2 linked regions of the Notamacropus eugenii genome follow. The protein of the gene in region 1 purifies or fractionates together with the protein of each later gene. This does not show direct contact. Links are inferred from orthologs where the notes say so. Each region holds a gene or a part of one and is shown in the gene's direction. Other genes may lie near its edges.

Region 1 (7,976 bases):
TCATTCATATGTGTTTCATCTGTTGTATAACAGAGTTAAAATTGTAGTGATTACATTATTTTCCAGAAAAATGCCACAAAATGCAAGTTATAACCATAACCAATCAGTGGTCAAGTCCAACAACAGGTCTTAACAAGCAAGTGTTGACAGGTGAGCATGTAGCACATTGTCAGGAAGCCCAGCAAGCATCAGTAGGAATATGTGCAAGTAATGAATTGTTTGTAATATGATACTATATGGTTACATGATGCAATATTTCATCATTAAAATTTCAATGCAGGAAAAACCCCACAAATTTACAATAAACTATTAAATTTAAGATGCATCATGTTTTTTTAAAAAATCTTGTATCTTTTTGAAATGACACAAATTTTAAAAACATGAAAGGGTTAAGGAAATTAGATTTCCAGGAGGTGCTGACTAATTTTCTTTTAAAAGAGGTGGTAGGCCAAATAAGTTTGGGAACTTCTGCTAGAGCTTTTCCATTACAAGGTGCTTTCCCATCCGTGACCTCACTTGATCCTCACAGCACCCTTAGAAAAGAAGTCGACCAAAGGTTTTACATTTTACATATGAAAGAACCAGAGTTCAGAAAAGATGGACTGATAAGCTTCTGATCACATAACTATTTGAGTGACCTTAAGACTGGAAACAGTATCTTCTGGTTCCATGTCTAGCACTGTGTCCACCACTGTACCATTTCCTTAGCTTTTCAGAGAAAACAAATGGAATGGCATTCTAAAAGATTTGAATTTTTTTCAAAAAAGGTTGATAAGATGACACACATGACTACACAGCAGTTTATCTGAAGATCTGAGACTGAGTTGACCTACAAAAGTGATCAAATTGTTCATGCCCTTTGACCTTGATACCACTCCTCCCTGGAGATACCCCAATGAGACCAAAGACAAGTATACCAAAATATTTTTTGCTCCACTTTTTATGGTAGCAAACAACTGGAAACAGACTAGATGCCTGTTGATTTGGGAATAGGCAAACAAATGCTGGAATGTGAATATAATAGAATATTATAACATTCTGAGAAACAGTGAATTATAAGGAGTTTGGAGAAACTTGGGAAGATTTGATACAGAACTAAGTAAGTAAAACCAAGAGGGCAACACCAGTGTAAGAAAGAGAAATTCTTTAAGTTAAGGAAAATTCTAAAAGGCATCAGAATTCAGACTGGTTCATCATAACACTGATAATGAAACATTCTTCCCCTCCATGGAGAGGTGGCAGACTACAAGTGCTGAATGAGGCATATGTTGTCAGACATGGTAAATGTCATTTTGTTTTGTTTAAATATATTTCATGTTACAAGAGGAGTTTCCATGGTGGGGGTAACCCGGGGGGGAAGAGTATTGAGCAGTGACAGCCCTGTGTGTAAAAGCATCAGTAAAAAAATAAAATAAAAATAAAAAAATAATAAAAAATTTATATGTATGGGTTTTGGCAGACTGCCAGTCATGTGATAGGTGATCTTAGGTTGCATTTCCTTGAAGCATAGTGTCCAGGATTGCACATAATCACGCCTCCATGTTCTGCTGTGGTGCAACAGCATCAGAACACTAGGTGCAGTTGGGAGTGTCACATTTTAAGAAGGATACTAGAGAATGTTCAAAACAAGGCAGCCAGGATGGTAAAGGGCCTTGATTGACAGCATGAGGGGCTACCATGCAGAAACTGAGGATATTTATGCCAGATAAGTAAAGATTTAGGGGAAGCATGATAGCTGCCTTCAAGTACTTAAGGAAGATGGGATAGACTTACTCTGTTTGACCCCAGAGGGCAGAACTAGAAGTAATAGGTGGAAATCAAAAGGAGGCAAATGTAGGCTTGGGTTTAGGAGAAACATTTTGTTAGATCTCTCCATATCTGGAATGAGCTACCTTAGGAGGTAGTGGATCCCTCTATGGGAGCTGTTTAACAACGGCCCCTTGTAGGAGGAAGAATTATTTTTCAGGTGTAAAGTGAACTAGAGAGCCCAACTCTGAAATTCTTTGATCCTGGGAAGCCCTTTAGTGAGAGAGGGAAGGAGAAAGGATCGGGCTGTGCAAAAGCCAGGAACATCTGAAGCTGGCTTCTACCTAATTAGCAGTCATCCCTGATGGGGAAAGATTAAACTTCAAAGAAAGCCTTGCCCTGGCTAGCTGCCAAGAATATCACTTGTCTTGTTCGTGATTTTCCCCGCAGACCAAGTCAGAAGACAAGATGACTTGTTCATCTAGTCCTGTCTTATAAAAGGAAACCAGTTCTTCAGTCCCCCAAAAACTTTTGGGAATAGAACTGGGCACAGAACTCAATATCCAAGACACATTGTCAATGGAACTTTGCCCTTCCTCCCTCCCCAATGACTTCAGAGACAAAATCCTTCCTGCCCTGACCCAGGCCCTTTGGTCCTAGTCCTAGCAGTAAGGCTATGGTTTCAGGGGTCATCCATCTAATATATGCAGTGCCTGAATAATAACCCCAATTACAGTATCCTCAATAAAGTCATTGCCTTTGAAAAACCTGATTCAGTAATGAGAAACTGCAACCTCCCAAGCCATAGCATTGGCCCTGAGAGGAGGCACATTCCTGGGCCAGGTCCCATCCCTTGGGCTCCTCCAGATAGAGCATATATGTCAGTGCAGAGAGTACTTTGGCTCAAGACTATATGGCCCAGTCATAATACCAATAAAAGCTAATTGAGCTCCTCCCACAGGCAGATGCTAGGAAAGTGTCCCAGAGCTGTATTGTTTCTTGTCTTTTTGTTCTGTGGGAAGTTTTCAGGAAGGGCTTTTGTGAGTGAGGGACACCATAGTCCCTTTCTGCCCAGGGCCTCATATTTCATCCCCCTTCACACTATCTCTTCTATCCCCTCCATTTCCCCTGCCCCTTTCACAGCATTTCTTCCTGTATCTGCTTGAAAGTTAGTTCTGAAAGAGAACCCACTCCCCTGGGCTGAGGTTGAACACCTTTAAAGCAGTTCAGCCACGGTGTCTTTGGTAAAGCAGCTTCCCTACCAGGGCCAGCCCCACTGACTCAAGCCAGGGGTAAGTTTCTGGTCTGATGACACCCAACAGATGCTCTCCCCACCCCATCCCCAATCCACTTCCACCCACCAGTTTTCTTCCAGAGTGTCTATTCACATTCACTCCCTCTTCACTTCCCTCAGCCCCAGGCCAAAGTCTTCAATGATCCAGCTGAGTATGGTTCTTGGATCTTTTTTTGAATTAAGCTGAATCAACTAATACTTTGGGGAGGCCACACTCTCCTTTCAGAACTCCCAATATTATTGTAACTTCATTTAAATCAAGACTTTACCAGAAGCAGATTTAATAAGCTCCACACATTTACAAGTTAAATAAAACAAAAGTATATTGTAATAAGGTTTTGCCACTCAGTGATTTTCTCTTGGCCATGTATTGCACATTCTCTCCTAAATTAATCTTTACTTTTTGACAGCAACAAGGGATCCAGCTCAAGGCCTCTGGCCAGCCTTGGCATCAGCAGCAGCGTCAGGAGCTGCAGATATCCTCTCCAGTGGCTAGCTATATCGAATGGCTTGTCCTTGTAATTCTCTTGGCTCTGGGGTGGTCTCGGGTCACGCTGGCTTAAGCAGAAAACTTCCTTCATCATTTCTTACAGCACAATAATATTACATCACATTTAAACACCCTAACTTGCTCGGGAATTTCCCAATTAATGGGCACTTAAGTTTCCAATTCTTTGCCACTACAAAAAGATCTGCTATAGGTATCTTCGCACATATGGGTCTTCATCTCTGTTAATCTCCTTAATCTCCTTCTCCCTGGGATAACCACTGATTCATCCTGCACATATATCTTGTTTGTAGCTATTTTCCTCTTGTTTACCCTTTTATACTTCGAGTTCCTTAAGAGAATTTTTGTCTTTCTTTGTATCTTAGCACAGAGGCTGGTGCTTAATAAACTCTTATTGACCCGGCACCAAAATCCTTTCCAAACGTAGGGCAAATCTCTCCACCTGATCTTCCCAAACTGAAGACTTTGCTTTCCTCACACGTGCCATCCCATCTCCTGCCTCCCTGCTCTTGCCCAGGCTGACTCCCATGCCTGAAATGCACCTCTCCTTTTTGCTTTTTAGGATCACTGGTTTCCTACAGATTTCCCTCAGCTCAGACCTGGAAATTCAATCCTCTCCCGGTCTTCCTACCTGCACGTTCACTCCACCTCTAGGCCTTTCCTCGGAGCTGGCTCTTTACCACTTCCTTTTCCAGCCAAGTGATCCATAGCTTCATTCATTTCAGTAATTCCCGCCAGACTGTCCACAATTTCTTCACCCAGATCCTCCAGGGCACAGTCTCCTTCTCCCTCCCCCATCCCATCAGCTTCCTTTGACGAGGGGTAGCGCAGGGTTGGAGGTGAAGATCTGCATCCCCAGCATTGGCACAGCCCTGGCACAAAGCGTTTAATGCATGCTGCTTGCTTCTGGACCTGACGGAGTCCTTAGATGCTCCTCTAACAAGCCTGTGTCTTCCCTGGTCTTTATTCTGTAAAGGCTTGAGGGCAGGTGCGGTTTTGTGACGTCCTGGCACCTCTCGGGCCCTGCTAGTTATCTGGTACACAGCAGGCACTTCATAAATGCTTGTTTTAATACACACTGGAACCGGGGTTCCTAACCCCCACGGCCCACCTGACTCCCAGGGTCTTGGATCTAATACCTGTGCCAGGAGGGGGGGAGAGGGTACTTTTTGAACTCTCAGAAGTCACTTCCCCTTCTTGGGGCGCTTTAGGGGCACAGAGGGATGGCACAAGGCCCCTTCCCAAGAGCCAGACGTCAACGAGGCACGGAAGGGCCGCGGTGAACGCCCAGCATGGAGGCGGGGCCTCACAGCCTATGGCTGCACGAGCCCTAAAAGTGGGATGGGAGGGGTGGGATGAGCATAGACAATTGGACCGGGGGAAAGGGGCGGGGCTGGCGCGTTGGCCAACCACTTGTGAGAGACCTCACACAAGAAATCGAAGAGGGGGCGTAGCGCTGAAGTCCTCTGTTCGCGCATGCGCGTCCCTAGGGAAGGCGATTGTGGCGGGGATACGCTTGAGCAAGGAGCGAATCTTTGTCAAGTACTGGTACAACATTCTACTGAGGGAGACGGAAGTACTTCCGGGTCGCCACCGGCTACAACTTCCTGGCGCGGTGAGTAAGAGCAGCGGTTCATGGATTGAACTATGGGATTCCTCAAGAGGAGGCCCATCTTCCCAAACCCATCTTGGGTCCCGAGAGCGATCCTTTCTGCTCCGATCTCGTTCCCTGGGGTTAAGTTGGGTCCACCTATCGGCCACATCCCCATTCTCGAAGCCACGCCCCCTTCCTCAAGGTCTCCGTTCATTGGCCCTGCTCTCCGTTATCTGGAAACAAATACTCCTTTCCAGGCCTGTGGCCCAGTCCCCTTGTCCTAGGCCCCGCCCCATGTTGTTTCTCCTCGCTGGTAGGGCACGCTCCTCTCCAAAGCCCCGCCTTCCCCCTGGCTCTGGGCGTCTCCTCCCTTCCCCTGCCCCGTCGTGTAGGTACGTCCCCAATTCGAGGGCTACTCTTCCTTTACTTCCTCCCATTGGTTAGGTCTCTTTCCTGGGACCCGCTTTTTGCCTTTTCTCCATTGGCTCCCGAATGAGCACGCCCTCCCCCCGTGTTGCCCCGCCTTTCTCTTTAACTCTTACCACTTCTTTAGGATCTTAGTCCCTGGGCAGCGTCGTCCCTGTTGGCCCCACGTCGCCTCCATTAATGTGGCCTGGTTTCCTGTCTGAGCTCCTCAGTGAGAAAAATTGGACTCGATTTAATTTGGGGGAAAGAGCACTGGCCTGGGAGTCCGGAGACCTGAGTCCAGGTGGCGTTGGTGTAGACGGTTTAGCGTGGGAGCTGGGTTCATATCCTGCTACCCAGCTGGGCATCTAGGTGGCTAAGTGGATAAAGTGCCCGGACCAGGGGCGGGAATACTCATCTTCCCGTATTTAAATGTGGCCTCAGACACTTAGTGGCTGCTTGACCCTGGACAAGTCACTTAACCTCTTTTTATGTCAGTTTCCTTATGAGTAAAATGAGCTGAAAATGGTAAAGTATTCCAGTATCATTGCCAAGAAAACCCCAAATCGAGTCAGGAAGAGTCAGTCAGATACGACCAAAACGACTGAGTGTCCCTGGCCCCTTTTGATATTCAGATTTAGACTGTTATAGTGAAAAATTGCATAATTTTCCTGCCAGATTCCTATAATTGTTTATCCGTGTACAAAGGTTTACTAGGAAAGCAAGTCTAAATGTAAGTCTAGTTCTCTGTCCTTGGGGAGGTGGAGAGTGGATGGAACTTTTTCTGTGATAAGATTCCATTTGTTCACTTGTTTCTTCAGTGGGGTTCACCTCTTTGTGACTCCATTTGGGGTTTTCTTGGAAAAGATTCTGGTGTGGTTTGCCATTTCCTTCTCCAGCTCCTTTTACAGATGAGGAAACTGAGGGTTAAGTGACTTGCCCAGGGTCACACAGCTAGTAAGTGCCTGAGGCCAGATTTGAACACGGGAAGATGAGTCTTCCTAATTTCAGTCCCACCATTCTATCTGCTGCACTACCTAGCTGCCCCAGAGGAAGGTATATCATACCAATTATAACAGTTTCATTCAGAAGTTTGACTAATGCAAATCAGGTGCCATAACAAAAGCCCTAAAATCACCTCAGTTAACAAATAGTGAACTGCTTTGCCAAGTAGAGAAATGTAGAAATCAGGGGCAACAACACTGGTTTAGAATATAATCTCATTTTAAGGAAAGATTATGAGCAGCATCATGTTGTAAAACATTCAAAAACAGGACAGCACAGATTGTTTAAATAAAGCTTCCAATATATTTGTGATTGACTTTTCAATATCAAGGACAATGGAATTTGGAGTCTAACCTCACAGTACTAGATGTGAAGAAGTAAAAATGGCACTTAAGAAAACAAGATGGGAAAAGCATCTGGACCAGACCAAGTATGTACAGAGAGGATCAGTGATAGAGATAACAATTTTGAAGGCACTGAATGTTGATCCTTAAGATATCTAAAGGAGAAGATAGCAAAAGTATTAAAAAAATCTCAGGCTTCATGATTACTGAAAAAATAAAGGCATCTGAAAAACCACAATAACTACTGACATATTTATTTTCCCCATATATGATATTTTAAATTTTTATGAAAATAACCTGTTCTTGCATGTAGAGCATCTTTTATATAAAGGTATCAGAAGGGAACAAAATTTTTTCAAGTAATATTCCACAGTAATTTTTTAAAAAATTAATTAATTTTTAATTTTCAGCATTCACTTTTATAACATTTTGAGTTCTAAATTTCCCCTCTCCCTTCTCAAGATGGCATGCAATCTGATATAGGCTATACATACAATCATATTAAATATACTTCCACATTGGTTTTGTGAAAGAAGCATCAGAACAAAAGGGAAAAACTATGAAAAAGAAAAAACAGAAAGAGAAAATAATATGCTTTGATCTGCATTCAGAATCCATAGTTCTTTGAATGTGGATAGCATTTTCCATCCTGAGTCCTTTAGAATTGTCTTACATCACTGCATTGCTGAGATGAGCTAGGTCTATCAAAGTTGGTCATCACACTGTTGCTGGTATTGTGTACAATGTTCTAGTTGTGCTCACTTCATTCAGCAGTACTTCATGTAAATCTTTACAGGTTTTCCTGAAATTTGCCTGCTCATCATTTCTTGTAGCACAATAATATTTTATTACATTCATATACCAAACTTGTTTAGCCATTCCCCAGCTGATGAGCCATCCTCTCAATTTCCAATTCTTTGCCACACTACACAAATTGTTACGATAAGTATTTTTGTACATGTGGGTTTTTTTTCCCATTTTTATGATGTCTTCGGAATACAGACCTAGTAGTAGTATTACTTGATCAAAGGGTATGCACAGTTTTTAGCCCTTTGGGCATAGTTCCAAATTGTTCTCCAT
Region 2 (8,026 bases), on another chromosome or scaffold:
GCAGGTTTTCTTAATCTCCTGGCTGGCCCTCTACCCACTAAACCACACTACCATCAAAAGAGATAAAACAGCAGCCATTAAAGTCAAATCAAAATTGCAATATTCTCTCCTCATCCAAAATCTCATTTTTTTTTTAATTAAAGGTGCTCAATGTATTCCTACTTCAACTATTCTTATTCTCAGCCATCCCTCACTCCTTTGCAAACTCTGAACTCTACTGTGGCATCCTCCCAGAATCTACAAACTCTGTCTCCTTAAGAGGCCTCTCTGAAGCCAGCCAATTTGTCTAGACCTGTTCATCACCCCAAGTACATATACAGCAAAACGGCAGATTTTCCCTCTCCTTTAGCCACTGATGGCATCACTAGCTGATTCTGCTTATGGCAGTAACATGTGGATAGTAAAAGGTACCATTCTTTTCTCAAGTTTTACATGAAAAGGCCTTATAGTTTAAATAGTTGATGAGGAAGAAATTTATCAGATGTCTATTTTTTTCAGATAATTTTTTAAGACTCAAACACAAATATTTAATCAATCCCAAATTCTAACACTGATTTAAAATAATTAGATATTATTCAAGTACTCTTTTCACTGCTTATAATAGAAAATTCAGCATTTTAAAAAGTCTTCTCCAAAATAGCTTAAGAATTATCTTATTAGCTGAAACAAATAAGTAAAATGTAGAGAAGACCTAAGACCAATGGTCAAAGTCTCAGCTTCACTGACTAGTCCAAATCTTGTGACCAGAATATATTACAAAAAGGAGAAAAATTTCAATTATTTTGGGAAGTCAGAAAGCCATCTGGAGATGATCACCTCTCTCTCCTTTCAGCAGGGCCCTCTCCAAAGAGTGTGATTGGTTCACCCAGCGCTCGAAGGCAAGCCTTGACTTCGGAGTCATCTGTGGAAACATTGATTTGCCGGGCTCGCTTCCTTCGCTCAAATTCAGCCAACACTTCTGCTTGTCTTTCACTGATGTGTTCTTCAATTTCAAAGACTTCCCCTATACAAAGAAAAGGCAATAGAGTATAATGATCAGAGCTTATACTCCAAATACAGAGAAGGAAAAAAATCGAAACTGATTATTCATGCCCAATACCCAGCTCAAAATTCAACAGCTCTAAAAGGAGGGTAACTGCTCTATCCATCTCTAATTCCTACTCGACACAATCCCAATCCCAACTAAACAAAAGTGCAAAATACAAAGTTTTGATGAAACCTGGAGAGGACAGACTTCAAGAGCCCAGAATCTTTGATACATTTAGCAAATTAATTATTTAGGCATTTTGTTTAAAAAGAAAAAGAGAGGCACAAGTTGCATACTTGTATTCATCAAATGCTGATATACGGGCACTAAAACATGACTGATAAACTCCCATGAGAATGCAATTCACAGTTCTACAGGAATTGACAGTAGAATTGTGACAGGTACAATCTCTCTTAGGGTTCCAGACAGAGTGTTCATTTATATCACAAGTAACAAATTAAACTTGCTATCAATTCAATATCTCCTTGGACTCATTTAAATAAGCTAGGACAAGATATCATGGAAACTCTTTGGCAGTCTGGGGAAACCTATGGACCCCTTATCAGAAGGTTTTTAAATACACAAAATGAAATATACAACAGAAATCAACTACAACAAACTACAGTGATCTAGACACAGACTGGGGCAGCTAGGTGGCTAAGCAGATAGATGCTGGGCCTAGAGTCAGGAAGACCTGAGTTCAAACCCAGCCCCAGATACTTATTAGCTGTGTGACCTTGGGCAAGTCACTTAACCCTGTTTGTCTCAGTTACCTGAATTGTAAAATGAGTTGGGGAAGGAAGTGTCTTTGCCCAAAAAAACCCCAAATGGGGTCATGAAGACTCAGATACAACTGAAATGACTGAACAACAAAATAAAGGATTGTCCCAAAACTCTTAGTGCATTTTAAAAGTTTTAACTTTTAAAAAAGCAAAAAACAAGTTTACAGACAGGATCAGGTTAAAAAAAAACTGTTTTTAAAACTAGAATCAATACTAGGGAGTCTTGGCTAAGCTGCAGTGGCTTAGCTGTTCAGATGTAGTATAGGGAAACGATCAAATAAAAACTTTGGAAAAGAAAAAAAGCAAAAGAAATAAACATGACCACAATGGCTCAAAACAGTAATATCAGGACCATGTTAAACTTGTTCTTTGAAGAAGCAGAATATGATTCTATGAACTTACTCTGAGTGACTTTCTAGTACAAATACTCATAATTCATAGGAACAGTCCTACCAAAAAGATGTGGGGAAGAAAAAGGTGTCTGAGAAGACACAAGATGAGAAGAATGACTACTTTTAAGTGCATACTACATTAGGCACTATGGTAAATACAAGGCCAAAACAATCTGTTCAGCAAGTTTGTTTTTAACTTCTTTGTATATATTTGTATTTATTCACTTTAAATTTATGAAATATATAAATACATGTATACGTATATGTGTATATATACAAACATACAGCCATTAAGGCTTGTATTTGTTGCCTAACTGTAGGGAATGCTACATTCTTTGCACTCACATGTTTAGTGTGTGGCACAGTACCTGACACATTGTAAGGATTGGTTTAGTACCTTCAAGGAATTTAAAATCTAGTAGAATTTACAACCATATGACAGACTAATGTAATACAAATTAGACTATTAATCCCCAAGAATGTAAAGGCCCATGGATATGAGGCAGGCAAAGTAAAACTTAGTCTCAGAGATACCATTTATAAATCACGCTTCCATAAAGAGAAGTTCAAGGAGAGACTATAGTTGATAATGCAAAACTTATTTTAATCAAGGCCCAAAGTAAAAGGAGAAAATATTCAAACCTAGAAAACCCGTACTTAAGACCAGGCAGAACAGGCAACACAAAAGATTAGTCCAAAACTAGTCTTACCAGAAGTTATATTAATATTTCCAGCCTCAATTCCAGCTTTAATTCCTTCTTTCCCCAACATCCCTGACTCCCCTCTTGCAATACGTTCCTTCTCCTTCTCTTCCAAACTGCCATAATAGATATGAGGCTTCTTCACCACAGGGGAGGCAGTGTCTTCAGGAGTCCTACTGGGGGTTTTGGTTGCCTATAAAATCAAAAAGTAGAGTTAACCTAGAGTTGGAGCAACCTTCGGAACTGCCTGAAGTGTTAATTCTGAAACCAAATGCTATTCCTGGATCTGCAGAAATAAGCACAGCACCAGTTGGAACTTTCCCCACTCAGATAAGGTAGTAATTGTTTTAGTGCATCCCTCACATGAGAGCATGTTCGGGACAAGAAACGTGTGGGATGAAACTAATGAACTCCATCTTTTTCTGAGTGATTTCCCAATCAATAGGTTACTTTGATACTGCTTATTAAGATGTAAGACCTCTGGGGACAGGTGCAATCTATCTTGGAGAAATGAGTGTTCATTTACGTTATCAATAGCATACTGAGCTTGCTATCCATTCAATGTCCTTTTAGAGTCATTTAGATAATAAAGGACCTGAAATAAATTTAAGCAGTGAATTTAAAGGGAAACATAATGAGAAAATTTACCTCTGGTTAAACCAAAGAAAATTCTAAATTGGGGTCTATGTTTTTTCAACTCTGAAGTACACTACAATCTCTATAGAACTTTCTAGATTTCAATGCATTTATACATGCATAATCTTATTTCATCTTCCCAAAAATCCTACGAAGGGAAAAGATCAGGGATTATCACCTTTTTAAATACAATTTTGGAGTTTTAGAGTCTACATCATCTAGTCCATCCCTTTTGCAGATACAGGAAATCTCCTCTGTAACATCCCTGACCAGCAGTCATTCAAATTGTGCTCAAACACTTCCAAGTGAAGGTGAAGTCACCATCTGTCACAGAAGCCTTTTCCACAACTTTGTTAAGTCCCTCCCCAATCCTGAACTAACAACTGCTTCCTTGTAACTCTCCTTTTGGAGATGACAAACTAGGGTTCAGCGATCTGTCTGGGATCTGGACAAAGCTAGGACTAAAACCCAATGACAGAACACGATGCTGAAAAAGTCTAAGTTAGCATCTCATCTAGATTTCTCTCTTTACAGAAGGAAACTGGGGCCAGGAATTAACAGGCTTAACCAAATTCGTGTAGAGCTGGGAAGTCCGATCTCCCACCTTGAGTCCAGGGCAACTTTTTATTACCACACTGTCTCTTTTAGAACTCCAACTCCCCCCCTCCCCCCCCCCCCCCCCCCCCCCGCCGCCGCGTTGACTTCAAACCCCAGCTGTGGCCCCAGTTCCGTCGGGGTGGGAGGGGAGGCCAGTTCCCTTCGGAGGGGCGGCAGAGTCAGGAGTCAGGAACTCGGCGAGTCCATCCCCCTGCCTCTGCACCAACCCACCCATCATCTCCCTGAGCGCGGGTTCAGTGGAAGGGCAGAAGCCAATTCCGGCTCCCCTACACGTGGGGAGAACTCCCAAGGATCCCTAAACACCAAGGCCAGAGCCGCACCGTAGCCGAAGCTCGAGAAGAAGCCATGTTGTGGTAAGAATTTCAATCGCAGACCACCACGGCCGCTGACCCCCACCGCCGGAGGACTCACTCCACGCTCAGGGGACCGGAAATTTCGAAACGTGTCGGAAATAGAACATAACCGGAACTAAACGGAGTCCGGAAGCCCGGGGAGGCGCGGAGCAGGCCGGGGATTGTAGTCTTCGTCTAGGGGCTTCTGTTGCAACCTGAGGGAATGAAGCGCGGAGCACTCTGGGAGAGGTAGTCAGCAGCGACGGATAAGGAAGGGGCCACGCGGCATGTCGGGAGATGCAGTCCTTGCGGTCAAGCCTACAGAAGATTGGTAGGTGGCTGGAAAGGCGGAGTGGAACAGGCTGGAGGCGGTAGGGGTCCGAGAAGTCGGTTTCGCCCCGGGACTGGGCTAAACCAAGCTGAGCTGAGCCGCGCCGCGCTGGGGGGAGGTGGGTGTTGGGCCATGAGGGCTGCTTCGAGCTGAGGACCTAGTTCCTGGGGCGAGGCGGGCGGAAAGGGAAGGGGACGTGAGCCGGGAGGAAGGAGCTGGCCGCCGGCGGGCAGGCTTCGGCTTCCCTGCTGCTCGGTCCGCTGGCCTGCCTCTCTGTAGTCATGGAAACGACGGCTCCAGCCTCAACCACAACCTCCCTCTCCCTTCACAGTCTGATTCCACTGACCTTAGAGGGGAAATGGGTCAACTCTCGTTTTACAGATGGCGAAACTAAGGGCCACGGAGTAGACCAGGTTCAAGGCAGGGTGGCATCCTCCATCCCCTCCCCTTCCCCACCCCACGTTAAGGAGGTAGGGGAAATACCTAGATATAGATGATGGGGAATAAGAACCACTCAGAAATTGCCTACTGTATTTATATTCGGTTGATGCGCTGAACCTAGTGCTCCGTCCATCTCAGATCCCCTGCCGTTCATCTTGGTTCCAGGATTGAAGTGGGTCTGGAGAGTGTGGTGGGTATGCCCAGAATCCTAAAATACGGTGGGAAAGCATATGCTGGCATGCATACTCATTGAGGGACTCCGGTCCATTGTTCTTCATTACCGAAGAGAGGGATGTTAAATCAATGCTAATAGTTGGGGAGGTTAACACTGCTAAATAGGAATCTGTTACAGGGGAGGGGAAAAGGATATTCAGAAATAACAACATGAAAAACACCAGTAAAACTTTTTAAGTCTATGAAAAGCCAAAAAAAAAAAGGTTTATTAAAATTCAGATCATTAAATGGTGCTAAAAAAAATGACCCTAGCATTATTGATTTCCTCTGTAATCATTTTAATGGTTACAAAGCGTAATCCTCTGTAAACATTTTAGCATAAATCTGCGCAATTGTTTATTTCTGTTTTTTGTTCCTTGAAAAAGTTTGCATCAAGTCATTATATAGTTATGAATCAAAGAGACTTTTCCTTAGAATTAGGAAGTCAACCACTGTGTGATTCATTTGAAAATGAAATCTTAACTTGACTTTTGCCAGTGGTCACAAATCCCTAAAAACCCAGGCAAAGGGTATTAAAGTGATTGTCACTATCCATTTTGTAAATGGTAATTCATTTTGAATTAAGGAAAGTTATTTTTAACTGTCTGTATAAACTTGTACATTTCTCTGAATGTGGCTGAAGTACTACTGGATTAAAGTGGATTGTACATCTTTTGGTTTCTATGTGTTTCACAGGCAGCTATTTTTGAATGGCTGTGAAATCAGAGTCATTGAGGCTTCCTGACAGCTCAGGAGGTTGTGTGTACGTTTAGGGTATCGTTGTTTGCTTGCAGAAAATCCATCCCCACCAGAGTATGCTTCTTGTAGAGCCTCTTCCTTCTCCCTAAATTTTGACAGTTTGGTGGATTTGGCTTGGACGTGTTGAACTGTTACCAGGATGCTCCGACGAAAACCCACTCGCCTGGAGTTGAAGCTAGATGACATTGAGGAATTCGAGAGTATCCGGAAGGATCTGGAGGTGAGTGTGGTCACGTCTGTTATTTTATGGAGTGGGTATTTTAGGATGTGTTATCTTAGTCTAAAGTATTCTGTCTAGAAACCTATTTCATTTGGGAGAGGAACGTTGAAGATTGAGTTTTTAGTGTAGATGTGTACACATCATTACTTAGAAGAACCTTGATTTGAAGGTCACTTCATATCAAAATAAGCATTTTCATATGGAACTATGCATGTTTAAATTTCAATTAAACTCAGTCTTTTTATATTAGGGAGCAAGCAAGGCAAGCCATACATTGTGAACTTTTAACCACTTCATCTTGCATATGATAGTGAATATGAATGGGTTTTTTAAAAATGTATTTTAAAAGTTAAATGGGCTGCTAGATATTGCAGGGAATAGAGGGCAGGGCTTGGAATCAGAAAGACTTGAGTGCAAATGCAGCCTCAGATACTCGCTTGACTCTGGGCAAGTTATTTAACCCTTTTACTCAGTTTCTTCATCTGTAAAATGAGCTGGAGAAGGAAAATGCAAACCACTCCAGTATCCCCAAGAGATCATAAAAATGGGAAAGGGTCCCACATGTACAAAAATATTTATAGCAGCCCTCTTTGTGGTGGCCAAAAACTGGAAATCAAGGGGAGGCCCGTCAATTGGGGAATGGCTGAATAAATTGTGGCATATGAATGTAATGGAATACTATTGCGCTATAAGAAATGATGAACAGGAAGACTTCAGAGAGGCCTGGAAAGACTTATATGATCTGATGCTGAGTGAAAGGAGCAGAACCAGGAGAACTCTGTACACAGCAACAACCACAGTCTATGAGGATTTTTTCTGGTAGACTTAGTACTTCATTGCAATGCAAGGATTTAAAAAATTCCCAGTGGTCTCTTAAGGCAAAATGCCTTCCACATCCAGAGAAAGAACTATGGAATTCGATTGCAGAATGTAGCAGATCATTTTCTTTTGTATTACGTTTTGGTTTGTTTTATGATTCCTCCCATTCATTTTAATTCTTCTATGCAACATGAGTAAGGTGAAAATGTATTTAATAGGAATGTATGTGTAGAACCTATATAAAACTGTATGCCATCTCAGGGAGGGAGAGGGGTGGTAGAGGGTAAGGGAGGAGGGAGGGGAAAAAATCTAAGATACATTGGAAGTGATTGTAGAACACTGAAAACAAATAAAATAATAATAAAAAATAAAAATATATTTGTTTATTTTTTAAACAGGCAGCCCCCTCTGGAGCTGAAAAATTGTAGGTCTTGGATTTTAAAAGGCTGGGGATTCTGGTCAGATAAAGACCTTGATTTATTTCAAATCAGTAAAGCCTGCCTGATTTATACATAGGTTCAGTTTGGATTACATTTGAGAGTATTTGAACTTTGCCCTTGATGATCTAATTTGCATTTGAACCAAGTTCCTTTCAGCTGTGCTCAATATCATTGCCACTGGTTAACCTTTGATGTACATTGTTATGTGAGTGCTGTACTACATGAAAGAAAGTATATTTCTGAGTCTTCTAGTAGTTATCAAGTCAATAAACATCTATTAAGCTCTTTAAAAAAAAACCAAAACCCTAAATGGGT

What was found.
Region 2: the proteins of ANAPC15 (region 1) and CDC26 purify together in Homo sapiens (affinity purification with mass spectrometry; 3 studies listed by BioGRID and IntAct, with this or other methods). This does not show direct contact. The link is inferred for Notamacropus eugenii from reciprocal best matches to the Homo sapiens genes ANAPC15 and CDC26.

Annotation. Positions count from the first base shown.
Region 1 is NC_092876.1:96,806,994-96,814,969, reverse strand, and holds the start of ANAPC15 (anaphase-promoting complex subunit 15), read left to right. Parts: upstream 1-4,818; 5' UTR 4,819-5,024; coding exon 5,025-5,163; intron 5,164-5,613; exon of another isoform or gene 5,614-5,748; coding exon of another isoform or gene 5,749-5,851; intron 5,852-7,976. UniProt on the Homo sapiens protein: Component of the anaphase promoting complex/cyclosome (APC/C), a cell cycle-regulated E3 ubiquitin ligase that controls progression through mitosis and the G1 phase of the cell cycle.
Region 2 is NC_092872.1:478,473,544-478,481,569, forward strand, and holds the start of CDC26 (anaphase-promoting complex subunit CDC26), read left to right. Parts: upstream 1-4,710; 5' UTR 4,711-4,819; exon of another isoform or gene 4,820-4,937; intron 4,938-5,398; exon of another isoform or gene 5,399-5,454; intron 5,455-6,331; 5' UTR 6,332-6,371; coding exon 6,372-6,452; intron 6,453-8,026. Other genes in the region: PRPF4 (U4/U6 small nuclear ribonucleoprotein Prp4), read right to left, coding at 817-1,003, 2,912-3,095, 4,477-4,503. UniProt on the Homo sapiens protein: Component of the anaphase promoting complex/cyclosome (APC/C), a cell cycle-regulated E3 ubiquitin ligase that controls progression through mitosis and the G1 phase of the cell cycle.